Xenopus tropicalis: one gene and its partners. The protein of the gene in region 4 interacts with the protein of the main gene of each other region in a biochemical or structural test. Links are inferred from orthologs where the notes say so. Each region holds a gene or a part of one and is shown on either strand. Other genes may lie near its edges.

Region 1 (4,292 bases), on a different chromosome or scaffold from region 4:
GCCAAAGAGAACCGTCCACCGGTGTAAAAAAATTCCAATTCCAAGTTTTGTGACAAAAAGTCACATGATTTTAAGGATTTGGTTCAGCCTGGAGCGTGGATTTGCCCAAAACCAAATCCTGCTGAAAAAGGCCGAATTCTGGATTTGGTGCATCCCTATTTCCCCTAAGAAATTGCTCCATTTTTTTCCATCTGTTCCACCTGGTAGAACTTTGCAAAAGGCCGACATCCCCTTTAACAAACTATAAATTAACTTGCACACTACAGATGCCACATAGATGGGCCTATAATTTCCAGGCTGAGATCGTAATTCAATTTTAAAAATTTGGAATTACATCATCCTTTTTCCCCAATACATTGGTGCCATAATAGATGTAAATGTATGCCCTATAATAGTGCTGTCCAACTTCTGCGGTGCAGAGGGCCGGAATTGCTCTAGCATACATGGAGGAGGGCTGCTAATAGAAGCCATTTTGACCACTCCCCTTTTTAAAACCACATCAAACCAGACCTATTTTATCACAATAGTGGTAGCACAGCAAAATCCCAAATGCTTGGTCAACCGTCATTCATATGTGAAAGAATTACATTATGTCATATTAAGATATACCATTAAAATCCATATGCCTCCTCCTCCCCTGTGGATAGCACCCAGCACATAATTACACACCTGAGGGGCCATTTAATGGCTATTTCCAACTGCAAACAAACTCCCACAACAAACCCCTGCCAGGTTCACCTCCCACAAGCAGCATAGGGCAGGCAGAGTATGGCACACACCGGCAGGGTAGGGCAGGCAGAGTGCTGCCTGTGTGTGCCATACTCTGCCTGCCCTACACTGCCTGTGTGTGCCATACTCTGCCTGCCCTATGCTGCCTGTGTGTGCCATACCCTCCCTGCCCTGTGCTGCCTGTGTGTGCCATGCTCTGCCTGCCCTACCCTGCCTGTCTGTGCCATACTCTGCCTGCCCTATGCTGCCTGTGTGTGCGCCATACTCTGCCTGCCCTATGCTGCCTGTGTGTGCCATACACACAGGCAGCATAGTTCAGGGACTACCTACAATGTCTGAGGTGTGAACAGGTGAACAATGGGGGTGATTACAGCCTGAGCCTGAGGTGTGAACACTGCAGGGGGTGAACAATGTAAGGATTAAAAGGTGTGAACAACACAGGGGATTACATATTTAAACAATACAGGGGGATTACAGCCTGAATCTGAGTTGAGAACCATTCAGGGGGCCAGTTAATCTCAGTACTGATACCATTTAAAGCTTATACAAAGGTAAGCCATCTAAGCAGCCAGACAGGTGGGGGGGCCACACAGAGGGGGACAGCACTGCCCTATAACACAATTCACCTTTAATAGTCCCTTCCTTGACATATTTTAGCTTATTTATAATAATTCCTGGCACCTCCTCACTAAATGCAAAGCGGTCAACCAAACCCATATCATGAGGGAGATAGCGATCCAGTCCTATTTTTTATTGCTGAATTCCTCTTCACACTAAATGAGAACCTGAAATAAGGTTCAAAAAAGTCTTGGAGTGGATCATTATCTCCCCTCCTGACATGTGGTTGGTTGACAGCCGTTAAATTGGGCCCCCCAGGAACTGACTTGAAGCACCTCCCTGGGGACAACAACCAAATAAATTAAACTTATGAGTGTAGGGTTCTTTAATTGATTTAACTGGATACCATTTTTATCCACAAATGACATTTTGTTTACACATTAAATATGGCTAAAGGTATGTATTTAGTCCTATTCCCTACAAAGTGGTTTTAACAGGTCCAACACGGTTTTTTTTTGTCCTTGTTTTTTTTGAGTGTCTTAACAGGTTAAATTGGTTTCTTGTCCTTTCAAAGTAAATACACAGAATTTTACAATATATAAATACATACAAAACCCCTTTTAGTTTTTGGTGTTATTGGTACTTTACTTAAGAAAGCCTTGTATGTTTTCTGCATGTCTGCTTTCAAATCTATGCAGCCCTATCTTAGGCATATTTAATTATTTGGCAACTCTAGATTGGCTGCAGGTGAAATTGGGCACATATTATTAAACTATATTATAAAAAGAATAGATGGCATGTTTAAGAATAACAGAATCCTCATGTATAATTTGACTTTCATTTACAGCAAATAACAGATTATAGAAGACAAACATTTTGACATTGCAAACAGTTGATTATTGGATATATTCACTAAATCCATACAATTTATAGTCTCTACTTATTTACTTAACCAGCAATAAACCAATCTAATGTTTGGCAGTAAACATACTTAGGAATTAACAAGAAAGCCACATACCTAATAATATTAATAAACTGCATCATAGAGAGGTCCTTGGGAACAAGAAATTTTGTTTTGTCTAATAGGGGTAGATATTTTTCTCGGCGGTATCTTTCAACAATCACCTGAAATAAAAATTGCTGGAAGTCAAGCACATTTAGTAAATATTTTTTTTTTTATACATGTAAACTGCAAAGACATAGCCCTCTTCAGAGTATCATTAGTGCAGAGAAAGATACAGTTTCCATTCTATTATTCTATTATTATTATCCTATTAACAAAATACACAGAATAAAAAGAATAATTATTTACCGGGATTTTTGTTGGAAATTTTGCCTTTATTCCAATGACTTCTTCTTTTCTGGATGCTGTGAAATAATAATAATTCCTCATTAAGCAATAATGATAATGCTTCATTTAGAACAAAGCAATATAATGGAATTTACCCAGACTCTTTCTCTGCTTAAAAGGCTGAGAGTTTTTTTGGTTAGACTGCATAGTTTGAAATAAAAAAAATTGTTACAGGGTTTCTTTTTTTTGTTTTTTGTTTTTTTTTGAGGGGGGGTGGGGAGGTTATAGCAACCTTAACAAAATGGTATTGCTTTCTGCTGCTCAGTTTATATAGGTGTGGCAGTAGTATATAGTTTCAAATTTACTGCCACAAAGGGGTGGGACTTAACTGGCAGTTAGAATCATGAAATACAATTCTCTAAATAGCATCAGTTAAACAACAACAGAAATGTCTGTTTTTTAAAATATCAGACTAATAGATAATAAGATTAATTTCAGGCTGCTACTAAAGAAAACAAATATATTGTGCTCAGGTATTTAAGCCAAACATGCACAGCGTGATTCTGCCTTGGTTGTTTCTTCTTCTTAATTGTGTTCTGCAAAGCTGCCATGAATTAAACAGATGGGTAATTACCCACTCTCATTTAACAAAGCAAACCAGCATGTATTTATATGGTATTACAAAAATACTTGCCAACATTTACTTATATTTTTTATATTTTAAAAAACAATACACAATGGGTTTTTTTATGTCTGCATATTTAAAAGTTGAATCTTAACATGTATGATAACAAAGAGCCACTCTAAATAACATTCCTTTTAAAATTCCTTTAAAAAGGTAGACTTCTAGAAAAGTTACTGCTTGTGGGCTGCTAAAATATCTGCAGTATGTGCTTAAGAAGGTGCATGAAAACCCTTCTAGTGGGTAAATTTGGTCTTTTTCTGTTTCTCAAAAATTAGGATTGCTTTTTTATTTAGTGGGGAATTTGCTCTATTTGATTTATTTAAAAAAAGTGAGACAAAGGGAAAAATAAAATGAAGGGCTCTCATAGGAATGTGTGTGTCTAAAATGCATACTGTGCGCCATAACCTATTGCATTTATATGCAACGAAGTGTGTTTTTGCTAAGTTCAACATGCATATCTCTATTTTATTGCATTATATAAAACACAATGTGCTAAAACACTGATTTGGATGCAGGTGGGTACAGCCAATCAGGATAAAATGCAATGTATTAGGGACCCTATCCCAACTGTGTAATAAAAATTGTGTTTTTTTTTTATGCTTTGCACCAAAATGGAACACATGAGTTAGAGGAGCCCATTCATTCCAATAGAGGTTGTACTGACAGGGTCTTAAAGCCAAGGTGAGACACAACATGCAGCCTTTCACCTCTGTGCAAGAGCCCTGATAACTATAACACTATATTTGTTTACGATGTGTAAAACACTTTGTACATTTGTAGTTATAAATTAATGCAGTATACAATTAGCTGATGCAGTTGGTATGCTTAAATGCACAAAATACCCATGTGAAAGAGCCCCTAGGCTGCAAACTGCATAAAAACCCTTATTGATTTTTTGTTGATATGTCTTTAAGGTAGAAATTATTTTGTTTGGGAGTGAGGCATTTCCTTTATTTGGTATTTTATTTAGCTTAAAAGCAATCTTTTTCGGTTAACCCTTTGCCTATCAAAGAAGACTTTCATTTTTAC
Region 2 (4,259 bases), on a different chromosome or scaffold from region 4:
GTTTGTAGCTTTCATAACAACAATTACAGTCTGAATAGGTAATCATTCAAAAAAGAAAAGCAAAATAAAAGAGGTTACCGGAACCCGATCTGGATACTTGGCTCTGATTTTTGCGGACTCCACACACCTGTGTTCTGAAATAGGAAAATTTAGGAATGTTATTTTAAAAAAAAGTATTTGTGCTTATAGTATTCAGTATCATTTTCACTTTGTTTACTTCCTTACCGTCAACAGCAGCCCATTCATGTCTTATGAGTAATATATCTATATAATGAGCTACTTGTTTTTGTACTATTTATAGCTGGCTACGAACGGGCTTCAGGGCCTTCTGTATGCAGGAAATCAACATGCAGATCATGTGGTGGGCGACATTTACAGCAAAGATACCTATTTCTAGCCAGGAACATATACCGGTAGTTCACTGACACTCAGCTCTCCACACTGACATGTTTCATTCTTGATTGGGACATTAATGTGTTGTTCATTAATATTACAGGAAAATACTGTAAATTGGTGTTAACTACAGTAAAGTTATGGGATCCGTTACCCTCAAACTCATTCTTTAGAAAGTACCAAATTACGGTAATCTCCTTTAGACTCTATTTAAAGGACATGCAAAGCCTACATTTGCCTACAATGTACATCAGTTGGGCACGTCTCCCCCACCCAAATGGCATTATTTGTACAGCATGTATCCCCTCCACTTGCCAGCACCATCACATTTTCCTAAAGCAAACAGCAGTTTTCACCCGGTGGCCATTTTTCCTCTGATACATAATGAGTTACATTTAAATCTGCAAACAGCAGACACAGACCCTTATTCAGCATACATTTCATCAAGAATACAGGTTCTGATAAAAGTTCTGCTTTGTTTGAGCACTGTAATGGTAAAGCTGAGCTCAGGAGAAAAAAACTGAAGCAGCCAGCTAGAGCTGAGTTTCTATGGGAACCAGCAATGCCATCTCTTCACTGGTTGCTAGACTGGAGGGCATGTTTAGTAATCTGAGTTTAGAACAACTGAGCATGCCCACAAGCCAGAAATTAAAGCAAATTCCTGAGGGAGGGGGCTGAGTGGATTACAGGAGGAGAAGGAAATATAAGTGTTTATGGAGATGTTGCAGCCTTACTATTAACCTCTGGACAACCAGAGTGGCAGGTATTGAAAGATTTCAAAGAGGCTGTTTGTGCGGGGTTTACATGTCCTTTAAGGCAAATAATTTATTTTTTAAAAACGATTTCTATTTTCCCTGCGATAATAAAACAGTACCTTGTACTTGATCCCAACTAAAGATGTTCTATTGGTTAAAATAAAATTGGATTTTTTCTTTACAAGTGGCAGGTGTGCTTGCTGTTTCTGCTTATCCTTGCACTTCCCCTACAGCTATGGGTTGGGAATAATGCAACCAGGCCACTCAAAAATAACTGCGAGTGCACTCTATTCCTAAATTATTTGAAATTAATTTGTATCGGCTGGCCTGTGAGATTGGGACCTGGGGTTTATATACACGGGACAATCACTTCATCAGGTAATCTGATTCCCATGTCTAGCCCAGGGTTGTACACATCCAGGCTATGGAATATTCATGGTCAGCACTTATTAGTTTATTTTGAGAACTGAGCCGCACTTAGATTGATTGCTTGATCCCAACATATCATATTGGGTTTATTTCATATTTAAAAGATTTTTTAGTTGACTTTAGGTATTAAGATCCAAATAACAGAAAGACCCCTTTTCCAGAAAACCCCCAGTCACAAGCATTCTGGATAATAGGCTCAACACATGTATGGGTTCTTGCTATGCTAAACACAAATGGTGCACAAAGATAAAAACAAACCAATCCTCAAGTCCTTTATGGAAAAACTTTTTCATATTTTGTTTTTTTAAGACAGGCCTTTGCAAGGACACTATAGGTATTCTTTGGTGTTCCACAAGTAAAATAAAAAGAATACATTTTTCTTTATTCCCCCCAACAGCTGAGCTGGTAAAGCAAAGCTGGAAGTAGTTGTGTAATTTAGTACCAATGGTTGTAAAAAAAAACAATATAGAGTAGAAAGGGATGTGTGGTCAGGAAAGTTAAAAGCAAAAACAAGCATATGAGTGACAAGGTGGAGCAAACATACCATAACCTTTGGTAAGCAGTTAGGTATTTGTTGTTAAATATTACACATAGGATATATACTGATAAACATTACTGAATATAGCTGCACCCATTTGGTGACCATATAAAATAGTGTAGAGGCAATTTTGCTGTTTTTTGTTCAAACTGACCTAACCACCATTTCAATGCAATTACTGCCACTTGGACCTATTTACAATCTGATGTCTCATGACAAGAGTTTTACAAAAACTGCAGCATTTGGAGCTCAAAGCACAATTCCATGGGCTCTAGGGAATGTTATTATAGATGTGACTGAGAAACTGAAGTTGATGAGATCACGGTTGATTAATGAGAAAAAAAGGGCCAGGGTTTATATGTTTTTATCTTTCAGAGAGATAAACACACTAATGGTAAAATAAGGTTAGAGGACAAAGCCTGGGAGGGTACAGTCAGTACCAACAAACAAACTGCGGGGGATGGGAATAGTCGCTACTAGATGGAAGGGCAGCGCTACGAGGTGTAGCCTGTGCCTATAGGGCGGGGGCGATGAAGGTGGGCTAGCAGCGACCGCTTTAGAGTATACAGAGGTAACTTCAGGTAGTGTTGCCAGATTAGTACAGTAAAGGTAATGGGCTACCCCCCGAACTTTCCCCGTTCTCACCCAGCGAATGGTCTTCCTTGAACATCCACTTCATGGTACCGACAGATGACAGCGACGACAATAACAATAAGGCGGAGTCTCCCGATGACGACACTTCCGGGTCAGGGCGCCCTGGGGTTTCCAGTACCTCCCATTATGGTTAATAATAAGCACATGGGAGGGGTTTCGTCGGCTAAAACAGGAGCAAAACAAAAACGTATTTTCCGTGGGGTTATAGGGGTTAAGCTGATGCTGAACTGTAGTGATCAGTCGCACAGTAATGTTTAGCAGCAATCAGCTTATTCTTCGTGAAAAATATCATAGCGACTTAACCCTAGAGGTTCCTCTGGTTATTTTGAATGCGAAATATTTGTGTATGAAAGTCATCTCCTATTTATCCTCCACAGAGATGACAACTAACCCTGTGTAAATGGGGTAATAATGTTGCAATCATGAATGTTTCTTGTTTTTATTTTTTTTTGTTAACCAAGCATTGGAGCAAGGGAACTTTGGAACTTGAGTGGGCATTTACTAAACGTTTCTGAGATTTATTATGTGACAAAACTGACAATTCCAAATGTGAAAAACACTCCTGCTAAAACCTTTCAATATACAGAAGTCAGTGGCAGATGTTCCTTTTACAACTGAAAGATCTTGCTTTGCTTCCTGGTTTTTGGGGGGTTTTGTCACTGATATTTTTGTAACAAGTCAAAAAAGTTGCGGTTATTATGCGAAAAGTCAAAAAAGCTGTGGTTTTTGCGACTTTTTCCAGTTCAGATCTTTTTATAAATGACAGGAAATGAGTTTATTCATGGTTTCTTTAAAATAAAAATAAATGTTTTAGTAACCACCCCTTAGATGACACTGTCATTTATATATACTTGCTTGTTTATTTTCGATGTAAGTCGGTTTGCCTGACGCAAAAGAAAGATAGAGAGCGCACACCTGAATAAGTATTATGATAAGGTGACCAGATTTTGAAAATGAAATCCGGGGTTAACGTAATACAAAATTTTTGTTTTGTGCCACACCCACTTAATGTCACGCCCACAAATGTCAGCCTCTGTATAGTTCCTCAGCTGCACTATAAATGTATGTGTAACCCCTATTTGGCTGTAAAAACAGGCAGCGCCGGCTAGAATGGCTTTAGATCATGGTGTACATAGGGCCCTACACGTCAGATGGGCTTTTGCTAAGTGGAAATATCCTTGGATATAACTGTAACTCACTTATGTTGTTTTCAAAGTAATTGGAAAGAATGGACACCAGAAGGTTCTTGCTAATGAAACAAACAGTAACTGATTTATTTGTCCTAGACAATTAGCTCACAGGGTCATAGATCATACTCACATTGAGGAAATAGCAGTACCACACTCTGAGGACAGCAAGAGAGGATGCCCACCAGTTTATCCCACCTCTAATGAGTCTTGGCAGGATAAAGACACCTGGCAGCACGGCACCCAGGGCACCCCCCCCGAGTGCGCATGCGTGCGTGACCAGCGGTAGTGTGCATGCGCAAA
Region 3 (4,346 bases), about 22 Mb from region 4:
CTGTTACCTGCTGTACTGGCTATAAATGTAGCCCTGTCTGAGCCTGTCCTGATTACTTGCTTTATCAGCAGTCCTTGTACATTAAGTAATACAAACAGAATTGTTATACCTGTCCTGTTTATTTGCAGTCAGGCCATTGGCACATTAAATGGTAACTCAGGTCTGTTCTAGCCATTTTTGATAAATCCACAGCCAGCCTAGACTTAGCCTGTCCTGATATCAGCAGTTTGGTCACTGTACATTATACAGAAACACGGACGGGGCTGCCTGAGCCTGTCCTGATATCAGCAGTCTGGTCACTGTACATTAAACACAAACACTGGGCTGCCTGAGCCTGTCCTGATATCAGATGTCTGGTCACTGTACATTAAACATAAACACTGGGCTGCCTGAGCCTGTCCTGATATCAGATGTCTGGTCACTGTACATTAAACACAAACACTGGGCTGCCTGAGCCTGTCCTGATATCAGATGTCTGGTCACTGTACATTAAACACAAACACTGGGCTGCCTGAGCCTGTCCTGATATCAGCAGTCTGGTCACTGTACATTAAACATAAACACTGGGCTGCCTGAGCCTGTCCTGATATCAGGAGTCTGGTCACTGTACATTAAACACAAACACTGGGCTGCCTGAGCCTGTCCTGATATCAGCAGTCTGGTCACTGTACATTAAACATAAACACTGGGCTGCCTGAGCCTGTCCTGATATCAGGAGTCTGGTCACTGTACATTAAACATAAACACTGGGCTGCCTGAGCCTGTCCTGATATCAGGAGTCTGGTCACTGTACATTAAACATAAACACTGGGCTGCCTGAGCCTGTCCTGATATCAGGAGTCTGGTCACTGTACATTAAACATAAACACTGGGCTGCCTGAGCCTGTCCTGATATCAGGAGTCTGGTCACTGTACATTAAACATAAACACTGGGCTGCCTGAGCCTGTCCTGATATCAGGAGTCTGGTCACTGTACATTAAACATAAACACTGGGCTGCCTGAGCCTGTCCTGATATCAGGAGTCTGGTCACTGTACATTAAACACAAACACTGGGCTGCCTGAGCCTGTCCTGATATCAGCAGTCTGGTCACTGTACATTAAACATAAACACTGGGCTGCCTGAGCCTGTCCTGATATCAGCAGTCTGGTCACTGTACATTAAACACAAACACTGGGCTGCCTGAGCCTGTCCTGATATCAGGAGTCTGGTCACTGTACATTAAACACAAACACTGGGCTGCTTGTGCCTGTCCTGATATCAGGAGTCTGGTCACTGTACATTAAACATAAACACTGGGCTGCCTGAGCCTGTCCTGATATCAGGAGTCTGGTCACTGTACATTAAACACAAACACTGGGCTGCCTGAGCCTGTCCTGATATCAGGAGTCTGGTCACTGTACATTAAACACAAACACTGGGCTGCCTGAGCCTGTCCTGATATCAGGAGTCTGGTCACTGTACATTAAACACAAACACTGGGCTGCTTGTGCCTGTCCTGATATCAGGAGTCTGGTCACTGTACATTAAACACAAACACTGGGCTGCTTGTGCCTGTCCTGATATCAGGAGTCTGGTCACTGTACATTAAACACAAACACTGGGCTGCCTGAGCCTGTCCTGATATCAGCAGTCTGGTCACTGTACATTAAACACAAACACTGGGCTGCCTGAGCCTGTCCTGATATTAGATGTCTGGTCACTGTACATTAAACACAAACACTGGGCTGCCTGAGCCTGTCCTGATATCAGCAGTCTGGTCACTGTACATTAAACATAAACACTGGGCTGCCTGAGCCTGTCCTGATATCAGGAGTCTGGTCACTGTACATTAAACATAAACACTGGGCTGCCTGAGCCTGTCCTGATATCAGGAGTCTGGTCACTGTACATTAAACACAAACACTGGGCTGCCTGAGCCTGTCCTGATATCAGGAGTCTGGTCACTGTACATTAAACAGGAACAAGGGGCTGCCTGAGCCTGTCCTGATAATCATCAGCAATAATGAGATTATGTCCAACTAATAATAATAATAATAATAACAATAATATGTGCACCCCCTTTCCTACAGAACCCCTGCCCTGTTTGAGCCTGTCCCAATAAACTGCAGTCCCACCACTCACATTACAATATACGGGGCATTGCCTGTGGCACAGAGAGGGTGCCCCCCTTTCCTACAGAACCCCTGCCCTGTCTGGCCTGTCCCAATAAACTGCAGTCCCACCACTCACATTACAATATACAGGGCATGGCCTGTGGCACAGAGAGGGTGCCCCCCTTTCCTACAGAACCCCTGTCCTGTCTGGCCTGTCCCGATACTGAGACTGCTGCTAAGCAATGTGCCATACCCACAGCAAATGCTGATGAACAGGACAGGCCCGGGCAGAAGGAAAGCTGCCAGTTGTTGTTGAGGAAGGAGACTGGGATGTGCCAGATGGAAACATGTCCCGATAATGTGCAGGCAAAGCCAGTCAGTGAGCGGCAGGTGGGACAAAGCCCTATTGGGGGGAGGAGGGTACAATCCCCGCAGCCCCTAAACCTGTCCCGTTATTATGGGGCACTTTGGGCAAACACTACACTGGCTCCCCCGGTCTGGTGGCGACTGGCAGCCATAGCCACATTAGGATCGCAGCTGATCAGGACCGGTTTAACCCCCCCTGTTCCTTAGGGGCGCCTCCTCAGTGCCAGTATGGCCCCCAAGCCCCGCGGTGCCACCCTCACCCCCCCACAGTGGGCAAACACTCACCGAAGGTTCTCCTGTGCTTAAAGGGCCGCTCTGACGGCATCCTGAGGGGTGTGAGTCCCAGAAGCTAGCACTCAGCCCGACTCGCCCAGTCTCTCTCTGCCTTTGGCTTCTGTTCGCCCCTTTGTGCGTCTCTCCCCACTCTCGGCTGGCTCTGTGCGGATACAATGTAACAACATGACGTCACGGAGGCGCTCAGGCTCATATATGAGCAAAGGGTGCCCCCTGCTGGCCATTCTGCGTAACAGCACCCTGGCGCTTAAACGCCTATGTTACGGCTCCCTCCCTGCATTCTCCGCTCTGTTCCATACTAGGGGCAGCCACACTTACACTCAGTACTATACATTACACTCAGTACTATATAGCGTCTCATTAATAGCAAGAATATAACTACATAGCGCAATACAGGATAGTACATCGCATTGCCCACTCTCTTATTGGGTCATTATACTTTTAGCGCCCGTCGCCTCGTTAGCGCAGTAGGTAGCGCGTCAGTCTCATAATCTGAAGGTCGTGAGTTCGATCCTCACACGGGGCACAGTGTTTTCCTTCCAATCCAGTTGAAATAGCACTGGGTACGTTTCTAAAACGGTAAAATAAATTTTATGCCAAACAAGAGGCTTTCAGTGTATTCAGTAGGATGTTTATTAATGTGCCCCTGCAGCAGTTATACAGGGATGTAAATCCAATATAATATACTCCCATTGCCTTGGAATTGTATGGGCAGAAACAGTGGCATAGCTAAAAGTTACTAGCCATCAAAAAAAGCATTATATTATACATAGTTACATAGGGTTGAAAAAAGACCAGAGTCCATCAAGTTCAACCCTTCCAAGTAAACCCAGCACCCACAACCTATACTTACCAATCTATACACTCACATACATAAACTATATATACAACCAGTAATACTAACTGTAGATATTAGTATCACAATAGCCATGGATATTCTGATTGATCAAGAACTCATCCAGGCCCCTCTTATAGGCATTAACAGAGTCTGCCATTACCCCATCACTAGGAAGGGCATTCCCCAACCTCACTGCCCTCCCCGTGAAAAACCCCCTACACTGCTTCAAATGGAAGCTCTGTTCCTCTAATCTAAAGGGGGGGCCTCTGGTGTGTTGATTATGGCCCCCGTATACTTAATGCAGAGCTGAAACTAGGGATAGTGATCTATGGGGTAGGGAGAGACCGAAGGGCAGGGGGAGCAAGCAGGGGGGTAGTGGGCAGCCCAGGGTAGGCTGTGGACCAATGACAAATGTGGGGGATTGAAGTTGAATGGGGCAATCGCGGCACTGGGTTAAGTAATATTGCCTTGGGTGCCACTACTTCTTCGGTAGGGTCTGACTTTGGGTATAAGACATTTTTCATAAACATATATCGTCTGCAAATCAGTCAGTGCCCCACTAGGCCCCTATTCCTCTTGGGCCGTGGGCAGTTGCAAGGTTTGCTTCTTCTACAGGAACATTCCTGGGCCAAAAGCAGTGCAGGTCTAATAAAAATGTCTGCAAAGCACACAAGGGGTGCACAGGCCTGAAACCTGCAGGTTGGGTGGGTTTAGTTCAGTAACTGTACTTCTTGAGTGGGTTGTGGATTCCA
Region 4 (3,564 bases):
CCACATTATTCAGATCCTATTACTTTTTGAAAAAGAATATGAGATGCAGGTTTCACTGAGTATGAGATCCTATATCCAGAAACCCAAGGGATGCCTATCTCCCACCATCAGGCCTCTATGACCTTTACAGTATTGTATCAACATGGAACCCACTGTGGGGCGAGGGCTTCCTTTGAGGTAGGTTGTAATCCGGGGCTGCATCTAGCGTGAGACTGCGTATTACTGTTTCACACACAAACTGGGTTCCGCTGATTTCTTCTTCATCCTGTGCCGCAGTGTTTTCTTTGTTATCGAGAAACTTACTTAGTCCTGAAAAAAAAGGAGCCATATAAAACACACATTGATGTTTCTATAGACTACATTATCACATATGTCTGTCTGCTGGGCATCACTACATCACTGAAACTACCCAGCACAGACATACAGTACCTACAAAAAGTACTACGTTGTATTTATAGCTAGGAAATGGGTCACCAGGCTCTGGAAATGCCCTGACCCTCCAACATATGACCAATGGCATGAGTTAGTTGAGGATTTGAATAAAATAGAAAAGGCCGCATACAAAAGAAATGGAAATCACAAAAAATATGAAAAAGTATGGAATAAGTGGAATATAGCTATAAGTGAATGACCACGCTAAAAATGTACAGTAAAATAGGCTACTGTAAAAACCATACAAAACTGTACTTAATATGTCTGTTATTCTGGAAACATTGATCCTATACCCTCGCAATTTACTCTGTTACCAAGCTATGTACCATCTTTTTCATGTATCAATGCTAAACCAAATGTATGATTTTTCTATGTTCACCCTTTAATAAACTCACCTGAGTGAAAAAAAAAAAAGGGCCTGTGTCTTCAGAGGGCACCAATACCAAAATGTTGGAGATGGGGCTCATTTATAAAGACTCAGCAAATTTGCACAAGGGCAGTAACTTATAGTAACTTATCAGTGAATGGCTTCTTTTTAGGCAGCTGCAGGTTGAACAATAAAAGTAAACTTTTTGTTGCCATGGGTTACCGCCCAGATGCAAATCTGCCCAGCCTTTATAAATAAGCCTGTGCCTTAGCTGGAATAGAACCTAGCAAGGCAGCAATACTAACCACTGCATCACTGAGTGTGTAACTCAGCATCACTGCAAACAGATAAGCAGTTTTGGCCCACTCATGGAAAAACTATGCTACTAAACCGATATCACATAAATTCATTATATATACATTTATTATCCAATACATTTGTTCACAGGAAAATCTTTCCTGTGGCCACAACCAACCTTTGGTGAAGAGCTCCAGTGGCCACATGATCATATCATCAACATATATCAACATATATTTATATATTGTCTCAGTTATATGCAAGGCCTTACTATTATCTGTCTTTTGCAAAGTCATTTTACTCTCTTCAACTGTTTGTCCCAAACCTGTATTCTCAATTAATGGTCCATCGTGTGTCAGAGGAGACATGCACGGAGTCATATCTAGAAAGAAAAACTGGATCAGTATATAAGATATTAAAGGCTTATAAAAGCAAGTTTAAAGACCTAAAGAAGTTCAGAGTTGTTCCATCATTAAAACATTGTTGGTATAATGGTGAGCATGCTAATAACCAAAACCATACAAATAATGTGTCTGTTTCTGTGTATGATTGACAACAACCATTACAACCAGAAAATATTCTCTTCTATTCAGGTGCATACATACTAGCTGCAAGAAAACATGAAGCGAGATAATATTAGTTCTACTGGAATCCAAATACTGCCTTTGCATAATGAAAGGATATCTTATTTCCAATATGCATCCATTAAGCTAAACAACAATGGCTTGTTGGGGGGGTGAGATATGATAAATATTTAAACAGACCACATAATAATCTCTCATATCCTTCCAAAGAATTTATGGCTGAAAGTGGAAGGAAGGAAATTTCTGAAATTGGAAGAAAGGAAGATTTTTTTTTACCAGGCACAGACTACCAATCTGTGGATTTTAGCAAATGCTAGAGGGGCTGCTGTCAGATGGGAGCTGTTTGGGCATCTTTGTACTTGGAATGCCAGGGCCTATTTTGAATCCCAGTCAAGACCTGGCATTTTAAACTACACTGAGGCTACCACCACAGGCCCAATAAATAGCAACTGTCTATGGAATCTTATAGCAGCCCCTCTGGCATTTGCCAGATTAGGTGAAGATGGTGCAATTTATGCTGAGACAAGTTTTGTACTTTTGAATACTTCTTAGTGCCCTTGGATTTAAGCTGCCCTCTAAGTCCTGTATGCACGCTGCTGCTTAAGATCAGGCAAAAGCAAACTGCAGCTCTTTTGCCATTGTTGTGGAATACGGGCCACACTTTTGTAAACCCGGATGAGACATACCTGTTGCAAGCTATTAGCCTACCTCCCACCACCACCATGCCACTGTGTTTTTGTTTACTTCTACTCTTAATACATACAAAGTCTTTAAAGTGCACTCACCAATGGGAGTATTATGAGGAACATGTTCCAGTTCTTGGACAATGTTTATATCCAGCAACTCAAATGAAAGCAAATCCTAAACAAAAGAATAAAGGTGAACTCATCCCTTAAAGGACAAGGAAAAATTAATATAAATTAAAAGTAAGTCTAAAGGCATTCTTTTTAAGTATTTACTGCATATCTAAATTCCCAGATATCTGCTTGCTTCTCTGAGATATGGTGCTGGCAGCCTACAGCAGTGTGAAGACTACAGTGACATCACTGAAATCTCTCACCCCTTCCTGTAGGCTGGGGGGGGGGGGGGGGAGGGAATGAAACACATGTGCAGTATGAAGCAAGGAGGGAAAGGAAGGGAGAATACCTTTTTAAAGATGGCTGCCTGTTCAAGAAAACAGATAGAAAATGTGAACTAAAGTGTGACTGAGTAAATATTTAATTAGGTGAGCCAAAAGTGTGTTTTGTAAACTCTGCACCTTTATAAACTGTAAGAATAAAAGGTGAAAGTAAGAAGAAAACTGGTTATAACTAGGTGAAATTAATACCATTGCCTCCAACCCCACCAAGAAGGGACAGTTTTTTACCTGAGCAGTAAGAAGATCCACAGATGGAATGTACAGCTGTCTGTCACAGTTCATATTCCTGATTGGCTCAGGAGTGGGGGCCCTGGCCACGTCTTGGATCAGCAAGTATCCATTCTGTTGCTGAGTAAATACAGTGGGTTGCATCCTATTAAAGGTCAATATTTAATAAGGTCTGTGATTATTTTAGAAATTACAATGTAAAAAAAGTATAGTTGGAATGTAGTTCAAAATTATTATAAAAAATAATTATACCCTCAGGGACTATGGCCCATATATGGTGGACCTGTCCACAAGCAACTAGATATTGGATTTGGGAATATAACTTTGCAGTCCTAAACGTTAACCTGTGAAGAGACCCATATGTCGCATTAATGGGAGCACCAGCTCAAGGGCTGACAAATACACAAAGGAGATAAATTAACTAGATATTTCTGGCTGCAAGACAAGTTCTAGCAAGATCTTGGAAATCCCTTACTATAAATTATAACCTATTTAAGCCCAAAATCGACTGGATATTT

The links.
Region 1: the proteins of nbr1 (region 4) and map1lc3c form a complex in vitro, tested with the Homo sapiens proteins (2 studies listed by IntAct). The link is inferred for Xenopus tropicalis from reciprocal best matches to the Homo sapiens genes NBR1 and MAP1LC3C.
Region 2: the proteins of nbr1 (region 4) and gabarapl2 form a complex in vitro, tested with the Homo sapiens proteins (2 studies listed by IntAct). The link is inferred for Xenopus tropicalis from reciprocal best matches to the Homo sapiens genes NBR1 and GABARAPL2.
Region 3: the proteins of nbr1 (region 4) and map1lc3a form a complex in vitro, tested with the Homo sapiens proteins (2 studies listed by BioGRID and IntAct). The link is inferred for Xenopus tropicalis from reciprocal best matches to the Homo sapiens genes NBR1 and MAP1LC3A.

Annotation. Positions count from the first base shown.
Region 1 is NC_030681.2:57,424,601-57,428,892, forward strand, and holds the start of map1lc3c (microtubule-associated proteins 1A/1B light chain 3C), read right to left. Parts: upstream 2,805-4,292; 5' UTR 2,786-2,804; coding exon 2,734-2,785; intron 2,656-2,733; coding exon 2,600-2,655; intron 2,413-2,599; coding exon 2,306-2,412; intron 1-2,305.
Region 2 is NC_030680.2:64,266,536-64,270,794, reverse strand, and holds the start of gabarapl2 (gamma-aminobutyric acid receptor-associated protein-like 2), read right to left. Parts: upstream 2,804-4,259; 5' UTR 2,795-2,803; coding exon 2,761-2,794; intron 135-2,760; coding exon 79-134; intron 1-78. UniProt on the Homo sapiens protein: Ubiquitin-like modifier involved in intra-Golgi traffic. Modulates intra-Golgi transport through coupling between NSF activity and SNAREs activation. It first stimulates the ATPase activity of NSF which in turn stimulates the association with GOSR1.
Region 3 is NC_030686.2:41,178,451-41,182,796, forward strand, and holds the start of map1lc3a (microtubule-associated proteins 1A/1B light chain 3A), read right to left. Parts: upstream 2,846-4,346; 5' UTR 2,788-2,845; coding exon 2,748-2,787; intron 1-2,747. UniProt on the Homo sapiens protein: Ubiquitin-like modifier involved in formation of autophagosomal vacuoles (autophagosomes). While LC3s are involved in elongation of the phagophore membrane, the GABARAP/GATE-16 subfamily is essential for a later stage in autophagosome maturation.
Region 4 is NC_030686.2:19,638,793-19,642,356, reverse strand, and holds part of nbr1 (next to BRCA1 gene 1 protein), read right to left. Parts: intron 3,167-3,564; coding exon 3,047-3,166; intron 2,542-3,046; coding exon 2,466-2,541; intron 1,479-2,465; coding exon 1,368-1,478; intron 310-1,367; coding exon 154-309; intron 1-153. UniProt on the Homo sapiens protein: Ubiquitin-binding autophagy adapter that participates in different processes including host defense or intracellular homeostasis.